Linked DNA regions of Bombyx mori. The protein of the gene in region 3 interacts with the protein of the main gene of each other region in a pairwise test. Links are inferred from orthologs where the notes say so. Each region holds a gene or a part of one and is shown on either strand. Other genes may lie near its edges. The genes, in order: Ubx, mitochondrial thioredoxin 2 and protein mothers against dpp.

What was found.
Region 1: the proteins of protein mothers against dpp (region 3) and Ubx interact in a protein complementation assay, tested with the Drosophila melanogaster proteins (2 studies listed by BioGRID). The link is inferred for Bombyx mori from reciprocal best matches to the Drosophila melanogaster genes Mad and Ubx.
Region 2: the proteins of protein mothers against dpp (region 3) and mitochondrial thioredoxin 2 interact in a two-hybrid assay, tested with the Drosophila melanogaster proteins (2 studies listed by BioGRID). The link is inferred for Bombyx mori from reciprocal best matches to the Drosophila melanogaster genes Mad and CG8993.

What each region holds. Positions count from the first base shown.
Region 1 is NC_085112.1:6,103,937-6,108,332, reverse strand, and holds the start of Ubx (ultrabithorax), read left to right. Parts: upstream 1-1,551; coding exon 1,552-2,014; intron 2,015-4,396. UniProt on the Drosophila melanogaster protein: Sequence-specific transcription factor which is part of a developmental regulatory system that provides cells with specific positional identities on the anterior-posterior axis. Binds the consensus region 5'-TTAAT[GT][GA]-3'.
Region 2 is NC_085117.1:14,775,002-14,779,227, forward strand, and holds mitochondrial thioredoxin 2, read left to right. Parts: upstream 1-1,463; 5' UTR 1,464-1,531; coding exon 1,532-1,716; intron 1,717-2,842; coding exon 2,843-3,107; 3' UTR 3,108-3,189; downstream 3,190-4,226.
Region 3 is NC_085118.1:1,282,869-1,287,052, reverse strand, and holds the start of protein mothers against dpp, read left to right. Parts: upstream 1-1,359; 5' UTR 1,360-2,596; coding exon 2,597-2,704; intron 2,705-4,184. Other genes in the region: pneumococcal serine-rich repeat protein-like, read left to right, coding at 1-99, 1,147-1,304.

The DNA.
Region 1 (4,396 bases), on a different chromosome or scaffold from region 3:
CAATTCTAATTTATTAATATTTTTCTTAATTTCTAGTTTGGTGTCGTGATTTGGTTCTGGTTCAATAAGTTATTTTGCAAGTTAACGAAAACCTGAAATAAGGTAAGTTTTAAAAAATCATAAAAAATTTAAGTATATTTAATTCATGAAACGTAAACCACCATTATCTATTAATTAAAATAAAAGTGTTAAACTTGTCATTTTACATATATCATTTTTAATAAATAAATAAAAAAACGTCTCAATACCCGGATCTAAAGGAAATATTTACATACGAAGGCGCAATAAAAATGCGTTCAATTCTTAAGGGTAGGGCGCACCATTCATTCGTTTGACGACTTCATTTGGTCGCGCGAAGTGAACTCGCGATAATGCGCTATTGTTTACCCTCCGATAGTGCGTTGTCCACTGCATGCGCTACACAGCGCGAGACCAAGACCGCTATACACTAATCAGCCCCGCTCGGATGATAACCGTTCCGCGCTCGACGCGCTGTCCCTTTCGCTCTCGAACGGGCGCCTTAAGCAAGAGAGCAATAGAAACATCACTCGTAAAAACAGGTAGTAGAAGAAATAATAATCATCTTTACGACTTCTCACTCTATTCAGCACCTTGTTACGATACTGAACGCTCATTGTGGCACGGTCGACGAGTGGCTGTAAAATCTTTTCTTTACTCGCCCGTTTCACTAATTGTACGTTTATGAGTTTACGACTTTTGCGGCTTAACTTTTTCGTTCTATTCATTTTTGAGGCTTTTGTTGAGGCTCTTCAAAAGTTTTGTTACGCGGTCGTCCGAAGATACATAAATTGTTAAAAGAAAACATATAGTTTATAATAGGATTTGATGTTATTGAGTTCTCTCTTAAGTCATATAAATGTCAGTTATTAACCTAGGTATTCTGAAGTAGAGCAGCTAAAGTTCTAGTTTGTTTGACGAACGTTCGCCACGTGCTCGAGTGGGTGTGATAAGGAAAGGAAAAGAGAGCGTAACTGATAATATTTATAGTGATTAGCGAAAAGGGGACGGAACAATAGTCGTTGGGCTGCGATGGTAGCAGTGAGCGCGGGGCGGCGCGCGTGTCTCAGCCGCGCTCAGTACATTGCGTGAGCCGCGTCGCGCCGGTCGCACACGACACACAGCCGCGCGCTCCCGCCACACGCGACGGAAAACTTCGCTCGCGACACAAGCCTCCGGCCCATACACCACCACGATCACTTCTGATTTCATACAGTGGAGACGCGCTCTCGGCTGACGTCCTGAGACGAGCCGGCGCCGCAGACGAAACCGCTTAAAAAGTCGTAAAACCCGCGGCACGCGCTCCCGAGTCGTAAAATAATCGTAAAAAGTAAACACACGTCAACTGGCCTTTATCGCCGACGAAGCCCATTATGACGCTTTAGTGACGTTTAAGAGGCAATAAAATTAATAAAAATAAATTACGTTGTCCGTATTTGGTGTGACATTGGCGGAGGTCGCGTTATCACGGCGCGCGGGGCCGCGATGACATAAGTGTTCCCTGAGTGACGTTAGTGCCTGTGACTGGTCACGATGAACTCTTACTTCGAGCAGGGTGGTTTTTACGGGGCCCATGGAGTGCACCAGGGCGGCGGTGGTGGAGACCAGTACCGCGGCTTCCCTCTGGGCCTCACGTATGCACAGCCACACGCTTTGCACCAGCCTCGTCCTCAGGATTCACCGTACGACGCGTCTGTCGCGGCGGCCTGCAAGCTCTATGCTGGAGAGCAGCAATATCCTAAAGCAGATTGTTCAAAGCCAGGCGGTGAGCAGCAGAATGGCTATGGTGGGAAAGAAGCCTGGGGCTCAGGTCTGGGAGCACTAGTGAGGCCGGCAGCATGCACTCCTGAAGCTCGATACAGTGAGTCGTCAAGTCCTGGTAGAGCGCTTCCGTGGGGCAACCAGTGTGCACTTCCGGGATCAGCAGCATCAGCCGCGCAGCCAGTGCACCAGCAGCCTACTAACCACACTTTCTACCCTTGGATGGCCATAGCAGGTTAGTAAGTTAAAAAAAATTATCTCGATCACAACTCTATATAAATTGAATATGCAATTTCGAAAAGGGCACACCTCTGAAAATGTAAAATGTTCAGGAAATGAAAAAAAACTGATTATTTTCTAAAGCAGTGTAAAATTTAAAATATTAACTTTTGAAATATATTTTAAGTGTTAATTAGCAATTGAAAATTACGGGAATTATTATAAAATGGGTGTAGGTAAGCCTCAAAACTACATGTATATGAAAAAACGTATTTGACAAAATATGCGACATGTGCCCTTTTCGAAATTGCATATTCGATTGAAGTGTATTATTGCGATCGTAGGTGCAGTTTTTTTTTTGATAAAATTAATTGCCGAAGTCTCTACCTATTAATATTGTATATTACATATTTGTTTACAAATATCACTGAAATTTATGATTCTATATTTAAAAATATATTGCGTTTCCCATAAAAAACTCGTCAACATTTAATATACATAAGTGGAAATGAGAGGCGTAACAAAAATATGTCACGTCCGATACCCCGTAAAAATCACTAAAATGCTGCCATCCTGTTTGGCACACATAATCGGGCCACTTCAGAATCGTCCATTAATGTTTCCTAAGAGTCCAATACTAACCGGCAGGTAGCCGACAAATCAAGTGTCAATAAAAAGCACATAAAACGAACGACCCTCGTTAACACCTTATTAGTGAGACAGATTTGAGTACCATTAATAATTTTATTGCGGACAAAACTCAGGATCCTCCAAATTACTAATTTGTAACGATAAATTGATATCAGTGATTTGATCATAAAATCTTTGGTGTAGACTTCCTGAATGTTGATGGTTCGTAGCAACGGAACTGGTATATAAATTATAGAGCTATGGAACTGGATTATTTGAAATAAAGTTCTCGTGTCTTAAAATTTTTTTTGGAACAAAACTAACAAGGTTTGTGAATTAAAATACGATTTAATCTTGGACTGGACTATACGGAGATTTAGCAGAACATATTATACCTACTTTTTTTACCGGACGACAAAACACTAAAATATTTCGAGAGAATGTAAAATAAAGAGACAAATATGTTGTCGATATTTACTTGTGTTCTCTTTTCTGACCCATAACAATTTAAATTAATTTTATAAATACATTAATAAAGCTAAGAAATAAAATAAAATAAAAGTTATTTATTATTAAAAGTTGTATATTTATTTTATTACTATCTAAAAATAAATAAAACGTTTAACAATCCTTCAATACTTAACACATACTTTAAGATGAAATTTTTCAGGTTCAAAATTGATTGTGTAGGCATAAAGTAAAGCAAAAAGCGCTATTTTAGTGGCCCAACGAGGCAGGAGAGGTGCGCCCGCGCCGCCCGCCCGGGTCAATGGCCCGGTCTAGTTTTGGGCGCATTATTATTAACTTACTGCCACTGACCATTCGACAAATGACCATCCCATTAAGAGCGCTTCAATCTTCAAACATACGTTTCGGTAAACATTCAATTCATGCACTTAAAAGATAAAATAACGCTTTAAAAATGTTTTACAAAATATCTAATACGGCATATTAGTTGGTATAGATTAGAATTTAAGTCTTATAAGAATCGATTCTCTCTCATTCGTAGTAGTTTTTCTGGAAAAGAAGTCCTATTCGAATTTCGATTGAATCGATTAGTTCACCTGGGCCGGCGACGAGTAATTAATGCTACGCGTGTGGTCCCGCCTCGTCATAATTCATGCGACTTGATAAAAATTAAGTAACAGGGCCTAAAAAATAACAAAATAAAATGAGAAGTCGAACCGTCGGCTATAATTCACTGTGGGTTCACGCAACACAGGCCGCGAAACAATACAAGGACGCTTGTTGGACGTGGCATGTATGAAAAGTTCGGGCTTGTCCATGAACGGTCCCTGCTGTTCATTTGGACAGTTTGCTAATTTGTAATACCTGTAAAGTAAACCTTTTTTGGTATAAATACCTAAAACATAGGTAATTTGGTATAAATTCCTATAAATATAGAAAGAAAAAAAAATTGTGGAGCTGTAAATGTAACTAATTTAGTGAAGCAAACGATAAATACGGTATAAGTTGAAGCTCGAAATTGCAATCACATGCTCCCGATCTTACTGCTATATAATTGAGGACTTAAATTACAGGGCCGTGGACTTCTTTTTTTTAAATTTGTTACAAGCGGTTTTTAAATGGAACAAAATAAAAACAAGAAAAATTATTTGGTGGAATAATTTTCATTTTCAATCATACGACAATTATTATGACCCTTCAAACAGCGACTTGAATCTTTCTCTTCTTACTTGGTGCACATTCGTTCTGTAGAGGCTTTTACACATTCCGATTCTTCAAAACTTGATATTGAAAAATATCA
Region 2 (4,226 bases), on a different chromosome or scaffold from region 3:
AATTTGACGTTGTTGCTAACACGAACCCCAGTAAGAACCGTGCTTCGCAGAATCTATCACCGGATCGGAAACGCGATCCACTGAAAATATCCAGCGAGAAACTCAGTGGGCTGTGTCTTTAGGTTAATTTACTAGCCGAGCCATCCGTCATTCGACGAGAACGATGACTGGTGCTTGGGATACCTAAAAGCACCGTTAGTGGATTGGGAGGATCTGAAATGACGTGAAAATTAAGAACAATAGATTGTTTGTTTATTTGATTGAACGCGTTAATCTCAGGAACTACTGGTCCGATTTGAAAAAATATTTTAGTTTTATATAGCTCATTCATTCAGAAATACTATATAGAGGCTATATAACATCATGCTAAGACCACTACAAGCGGAGCACCAATAAAGAAAATTTGAAACATTTCAAAATGAGGGTATTTTTCTGTTTTGAAAGCTTCTGCTGCGTGCGCTGTGGAAACGGTTAAAGTTTCGCTAAAACAATGTATGACCAAATTGTTCTCCTATAAAGTTCTAAAAAACCTTTTCTACTACGACGGATCTATATTTTTATGTTTGCTCACTATAACGTTTTTTATACTAACCAAATTTTATGAAGATGATATTAATCCCTGTCCAAACAATTACGTTATTCATTACAATTAATTTTAAAGAAATTTCCCCTCATTTGATTTTAATGAGTATGAGAAGATATCGCAGTTTTAAAATAACATCGCAGCATAATAATTACCAAGCGCGTAATATTGAGGTACGAGACGCCGACCGGCCGGCGTGCTGCGGCACAGAGAAGAATAACAAGAAACACCCAAATCACTTCAAGGTAGACTTTGAAAATTATAGATTTTTCTGGATTTCTCTAGGTTCCCATCATCAGATCTTAATGATTACATGATCATTCGGGAAGTCTACTCTTTCGAACAAAAAAAAGAAAAAATAATTATCGGAATTGGTTCAAACCATATACTTAGTATTATTGTAGATATTATTGACTCCATGGTTCAAGCATTCTCCAAAAATTTGTGAACATATATATCATAGATAAAAAATTGTGGTCGAATTGATAACTTCCTCTTTTGAAGTCGGTTAAAAAGCGTGATTTTGGTACCTTCATTAATACCTCCTTAACATTCTATTATTCAAAAATATTTTCACTTTCTATATAAACGAAGAAGCGGGTAAAATCTAACGTTATGCCAAAGTAACTAAGTCTAATATAGATGGTCGCTTCCAAAAATTTTTTAACATTTTATGACTTGGGAGACCTTTAATCCATCTTCCATAGAGAACAACTTGGTACCATAGGTAATACAAATAATTTATGACTTTTCACTCTCAAATCTATGTTTAATGTCTATGCTTTTCAAAAGCTGTATGGGCTTAGATCCCCTTGCCTTTCCTAATAAGGAAAAACTACCAAAAAAAATAATCTATGGTAGTTATCATAGATTATATATACTGGAAATTGATCCCATTTTCTATTACCAAATAATTTGCAATATTGCATAGTGCATTGTTTTTACAAAATGCTTACCAAAAATATTACTAACTTATTCATTCGAAATTGTACATTAAAAAAAAATTATGGGTTTTTGAGAAATTTCTCTCTAACTGCGTCGAAAAACGACATTGTGAAAATCCAGAGTACTGATGACTTCAAAGAAAAAGTAATTAATAGTAAAGTTCCCGTCGTTGTCGATTTCTTTGCAACGTAAGTTTTAATTGGCTATCGTTTTTTATGTGTACCTCGTAAATAGGTACAGTAAACGTGGGATAAGTAGTCATTAATTGTCTGCAAATTAATATCAATGAAATGACCTAATGTCAATTAATGTTGTATGCTAATTATGGTTAAAAATATACCCTCAATAAACATGTACAAAAGAAATATGGTAAAATAATGGTTGGTGTGTATATTCAGTAGGCTTAACTCAGAAAGCTTGAGCTTATAGACTTTACAATAGCAATGTCTTCATCTCAAAACTTGAGGTCAAAGTTATATTGCTTAAAAGTTGAAACCCTGTCAATTAGAACACATAAGTACTTTGCGGCAGAAAGAGGTACCCAACTAAAAGGGTTTAAGATATCTCCTACTCCAGCTCACTATGATCATTATGCTGGTAGAATACTCCAACTGTTTCAGTTTTACAATTTTTGCCTTTTACAGTACCCAAGGGAAGAAATGCAGTGGTTCTATTAGTAGGCTGACACTACAGTTGTGTAATAATAAATATCTATGTTTACATTTGTCATAAATCTATCAGTAAAAATTTAAAAAAATGCACATTGTTGTTACTTATTGATAATTTGTTGATTAAGTACTACTAACCACAAAGGAACTTGTATCTGTTATGATATTAACTAAAAGATATACATATACAGATATATAACTCTTGTGTTTTTAGTCATTACTTACTACCATTTCAGTATTTGTATTTTAAATGTGATAACCTAATTTCCAAAATACTCTCCTGATTTTCTAATCTTAAGGAGGGTTGGTGTCAGAAACATATTAAAACAACATCAAAATTCTGGTTTTCTTTTATTACATTTATCTTATCTATATCTATGTACTCTGATATGAATGTTAAGTTTTTTTTTAAATACCTTGTGGTTTTCTAAATACTGTATAAGAGAACAAGTATATGGGTTTAGAATAATTGTGTTATGACATCACATTTTCTGTATAGTATACCTCCTTTGATACCCTCCTTTGTATGTTGAGACCATCCACATATGCATAGCCTTATCTTGGATAATGTAATTGCTACTTATATGCAAGTTGTGCCTACTGCACTTAATAAGGTAATCCCAAAATATGTGTAATATTTTTACAGGTGGTGCAACCCATGTAGACTACTTACTCCTCGCCTTGAGTCTATAATAGCAGAAAGTAAAGGCAAGGTGGTTTTGGCAAAAGTAGACATTGATGAACAAACTGATTTAGCATTAGATTATGAAGTAAGCTCTGTACCAGTCTTAGTAGCGATAAAGAATGGGAAAGTACAAAACCGTTTAGTTGGACTGCAAGATACTGATAAACTACGCAAGTGGATTGAACAGTTTGCTTCTGAAGAAACTAAAGCAGAAATAAAAGCTTAATTTAATAAAATGAAATGATATATTTTTCTTTGTTACCAATGTAGATTCTTAATTTAATAAATGTTTTATTCAAAAAATTAATTTATTCTTCAAGACATTGTATTAAATCTCGAGCTCTCTTATATGTAACTTCATCAGGTTTGTTAGTCTCTTCTGTTGTATTCTCTTCACTGTTTTCTTCATCTATTTCTTGTGTATTACTTTGACCATGTTTTTCTGTCCATTCATCCATTTGTTTAATGACTTTTTTTGCATCTTCAAGCAATAATGTGCGTACATTCCCTTTTGCAGATTCAAAATACTCAATTAGGGTCTGCCAAGATTCATCAGGTACTAAATTAGTGGAAAACTTATTTTTAAGTAGCCATAACTGTTTAACTTTCATGAACTTCCAGTTTTGTTTGTCATGTTTCCACTGAGAAAGATAGCTGAGACACTGAGATTTGAGTTGATTTTTTGAAAGTTCTGCAGCTTGGGCTTGACGTTTAAGATAGTTTTCTCTCTTTGTTTGTCGTATCGACTTTTTACCTTTTTTATCAGTTGTTTCGGTAATAACGGGCTTTTTCTTTTTCTTTTTACGCGGTGTTTCTTCTGCATCGGAGTCATCAACGTGTTGTCGCTTAACTGCCGCAGGTTTCGATTCAATTTCATCGTCCTCCTCGTTTCCTTCTGCTTCCTGTTTGCGATCGTTTAGTACTTCGGAAGATACTGATAGATTCAGCTTTGTCTTATTTTTTTTATTGTTATGTTTGTTTTTTTTTCCTTTCCTTTTAACCATAGCGGCTTATTTATATACTTTATACAAAATACCCTGTAAGGGTAGCTTTAGTAAAAGTTCAATTATAGTTTATTAAAATTTAATTATATTGTTACTTCTTTTACATAAATCACATAACATAACTTAATTGATATTGGTTGAATAAAAATTTTTACTACAACTGAAAGAGCGTGTAACAATTGTAGGTTATTTTAGGGATGATTTTTTTTTAAGAGATTTTATGACCTGGTAACTAATACCTTTAAGTCATGTTTTATTTTACTTTATATTCTTAATTTTATGAAAAATGATAATATGGAGTGAAATGAAATGAAGATGATTAATTTGAGACATTAATCAAC
Region 3 (4,184 bases):
ATTACCGAGAAATCAACCCTACCCAAGGCTTCGGTGATGATGTCGGGGAAAATGAAGATAAACGCAAAGGAAGATATGATTTATCTAAATTTAATCAAGGTATGATTTATTTTCGATTTATTTTTAGTACATAATGTATGTATGTCCCTATATGGTTTACTTATTTTATAAATGCCAAAGTTTGGGAGGATTAATAGATATTTGGTACTCTTTCACACAAAAACAACACGGCACGTCCTTACGGATCCACCAGATCCATTAATCTCAGCACTAGACGCCTTTAGTTCTAACACTAGGAGCAGGTTCAGGGACCCTGGAAACCGTAATCGTCGAGCTCGGCAAAGAGTTTGACGTGCAACCTAACCCATATAGGTACATATCAGCCCGCTAAGTTTCTCTTCGGCTCTTCTCAGCGGATCGTCCGATCCGGTAGTAGATTCATTGGTGAAAACTTCACTGGTTTTTAACGTGTATGCATATGATACTACTATCATGATAAAGTACTTGATCCAGGCAAGAACAAAAAAATCATTCGCTATAGTAAAGACGACCTTGTACCTATTCTCTGGTTCACGATTTTACGTAGATACCAAGGATCTACAAATAGACTGGTTATGGACGAGAAAGATTGAAAAACAACTTTTTATCTCGGGAAAATATATGAATTTTAGTATTAATGAATTAGAAATGTATCGCAGGTAAAACCGCGGTGCACGTCTAGTAAGATTTGTAATAGTAACTCGTTTGCGTTATATGTATGATAATGTTTCCAAATTCCCGCTATAAATTAATTTAAAAAAAACTTTCCCTGGCTTTCCTGAGTTTAAGACATACGAGTAATTGAAATAGCTGTTACGTTTTAATACCCCGTATTTAATTCTCAATAAATGATTAGTGACGTTTCGAATACGTAATTTTCACCCATAGTAGACCCCTAATAGACTCACTCATAATTTTAACTTTCAGCAAGTTTCGTACAGTGTGTCAGATACTACATATTATTATCATATTAAATTAAACATGTGATTAATACTTATTAAAATATAAATATAAAATAAAATCATAACCTCGTTAAATATTTTTAAGCATTGTAAATAAAGTAACCTCTACTCTGTTATGTACTAATCACGTTTTACTGATTATCAGCTCCGGCAATGCATATGGCCGTTGAAAACGAAATAACATTGAAGACTCTGATCGTCGAAGACGGATCCAAGTATGGACGCTGCTACTGTTCGTGTGACCTGAATAGCAAGCCAGTCTTCATTAGCTTGGATGGAAGTGCTTTGAAACCTAGACGATGAATCCATAGATATACCTCCTAATTAAGTCATTCTTATCCATCTATAATCCATACTAGTTACATAAATAATACAGTAATACAAATAAAACTATTATCAATTCTATATTCACCCGTACCCTAATTTAAGTACTACTATTATAAAAGCTTGTAACTAAATGATAAGCGTACTTTTTACAATGCCAAGATGTGATGTGTATCGATATAACCTTTTTAAAGAAAGAAGATCCAATACGTCTTACGCTAGTCCTTGTGGTCTAATGGATAAGATGCCCGGTACAATCATACCAACCACTACGGCTATCCGTAGCTAGGAGCTAGGAACTAGGAGCTAGGGTATAGACCTTAGGTCAAATCCCGCATGCTAGCACCAATTTTCTTAGGAAATACTTTTCAGATCTTCACGTACAACTTGCACACATACATACTCACTCGCATTTAATACCAAAATATATATTTTTTAAATAATCACGAGGCTGCGCAAATTATTATTTGAAAAAAAAAAAAAAGTTTTTTCATTTGAAATTTGTCTCTATTCATTTAGTTTACAACTTATTTAACTTTAGGCGAGTCACGAAAATCCATATTCGGAAATCTGTTTTATTTGCCTCAGTAAATTATAAAACATTCAGTATACGATGAAGAAGGTGGTTATTAGAAATAATAAGTGTATTATGTATGGTTATTAGATACACAGATTATTTTAATAGTTGTGATTAGATAATTATAAACAATACTGGGGATAAAAAGATGCCACTGCCTCAGAAGTAATAGTGTTCTGTGCCACGGCCTCCGGTGTCTACAATTATGTGTCAGTGATTCGATTATTCTGTCACTCGAATTCGATCTATCGCTAAAATTAGTTTATATAGTTTAATTCTAGTTATTAGTGACATAGAGTATGTTGCTATTCCGACAGAATATTGATGGCAACATTAACAGTAACGTCAAAAAAGGAACTGGTTAATTAACTGGCATTCTAGTTGTTGCGTTTTAAGCGTTTTATTTTTTATAATCTTGAATAAATTTTGTTATCTAAGGAACTTCTGTTGGACAGTCATTGAATTAAAAAAAAAACCGCGTTCTTGATGAATGTGTAAACAAGTGATTGAAATTGGAGGCCGTAAATCATAGTGGGCCGGACGCTTGGCAATTGTCACGCCAATCTTGTGGAGTTCGTAATTAGCCCGGGACACCGTGGGGAATACCGAATTGCTGATCGATGGTGTGTCGGTTGCCGCGGTGACTGTGGGGACGCGTGTGCCTTTGGCCGGTGACTCATAACAGGACGTAGGGATGGACACTGACGATGGCGAGTCTTCAAGTAGCGGGCCTATGTCTAGCCTTAACAGCCTATTCTCATTTACCAGTCCCGCTGTCAAAAAACTACTTGGCTGGAAACAGGTAATCAAATTTTTTAATAATTATAAAACCTATATCTCACATTGAAGTTAGGACTATTGGTATTGATATGGTATTATTTTGACTAAGCATAAATGTCTAAAAAGCGACAACTTACTAACAGAAATGAATGTACTTCTCATATCTTCTGTTAGTACAATTACAATGTCTTTATTTCAATGAGACGAGAAACAGTATTTAAATTTAGCATTTAGTTTGTATTCGGTGTTTATAACTAAACTGGCAAACGATCGGCAAGGACAGAGATCAGTGGAAAGGACTGGAGGAGGCCTTCACCGGAGGAGGGGTCCATATCCAATAACAAAAATTAACTCGTACTAACATTTAGACAAAAAGCATTAATAACTAACTAAACACTAACAAATAAATACCACATTTCAAATGAAAGTTAAGGATAAGGAAATAGGCTTTTTTTTTGTTTTTATTTTTATTTTTTATTATTTTTTTATTTTATTACCTAAACAGATGAGATGTTTTGTCAACTTCACTATAAAACATATGCCTAAGGGTTTGACTAATGCTTATTAGTGCCTACCATCGACCTAATGATCTGATTAGCATCTCTGTAGGTATTTTTGTGATATCAACCCAATGGCAATAGGGGACCTTCGATTAGCAAGTGTGATGAGGATTCTTAGTAGTGATAGAGTAACTAAGTAGGGATTGTGTGTATGTAACATATCAGTACTGCAATATTCTCTTTGCTTCCTTCTGTTTGAGATATCCACTAAAATATTAAGTATTTGTTGTATTAAAATCCATTTCGTCAAGGATTTCAATTATTATCTATAAGCTATAGTCTGACGGGTCAGATAAAATTGTGGGAAACAAATGTATTAATAAAGTAACTAAAAGTGAATAGACATTACTATTAGTATATGTAAATTGATATACTAATGACAGTTAAATGAGGTGTAAGCTAGACTGACTGCATACCTCCAGAATCTTCTGAAATCTTATTGATGAAGAGGTGCCAAAAAGTAAAGATAGGATATTTTTTCAAATGTAAATAGCATAGAACATCAGATTCAATATCATACTCAACATGTGTCTACAAACCTCATTCACAATAATGCATTAATTTATTAAGGAAAAATAAAGGTAAATATTATAAATTTGGATAATGAGGTCGAGTATTTTAAATATATTGTTCCATGTCTTTCAGTTGTAAAACAGTAATGCATTTTACTTTCAAAGTTGTGAAAACCTTTATACAATAATAAGAAAAAAGAATCTGTTAGTGCCTATCAGCAAAGTTAGAAGTGTCAAAATTAATTCTGCAATCTACAATTTCTGTACTGTAAATAACTGGGTCATTTTCACAGGCATTCTTAAAATAAGCAAGATTAAATCTTTATGTTTCATTCCCAATATGTGCCACGTTTTTCCATGTACTTCTCATGAGCACCAGTCTAGTGCTATGAATCAATAAATGATAGGAATGAATATCACATTTCTACAG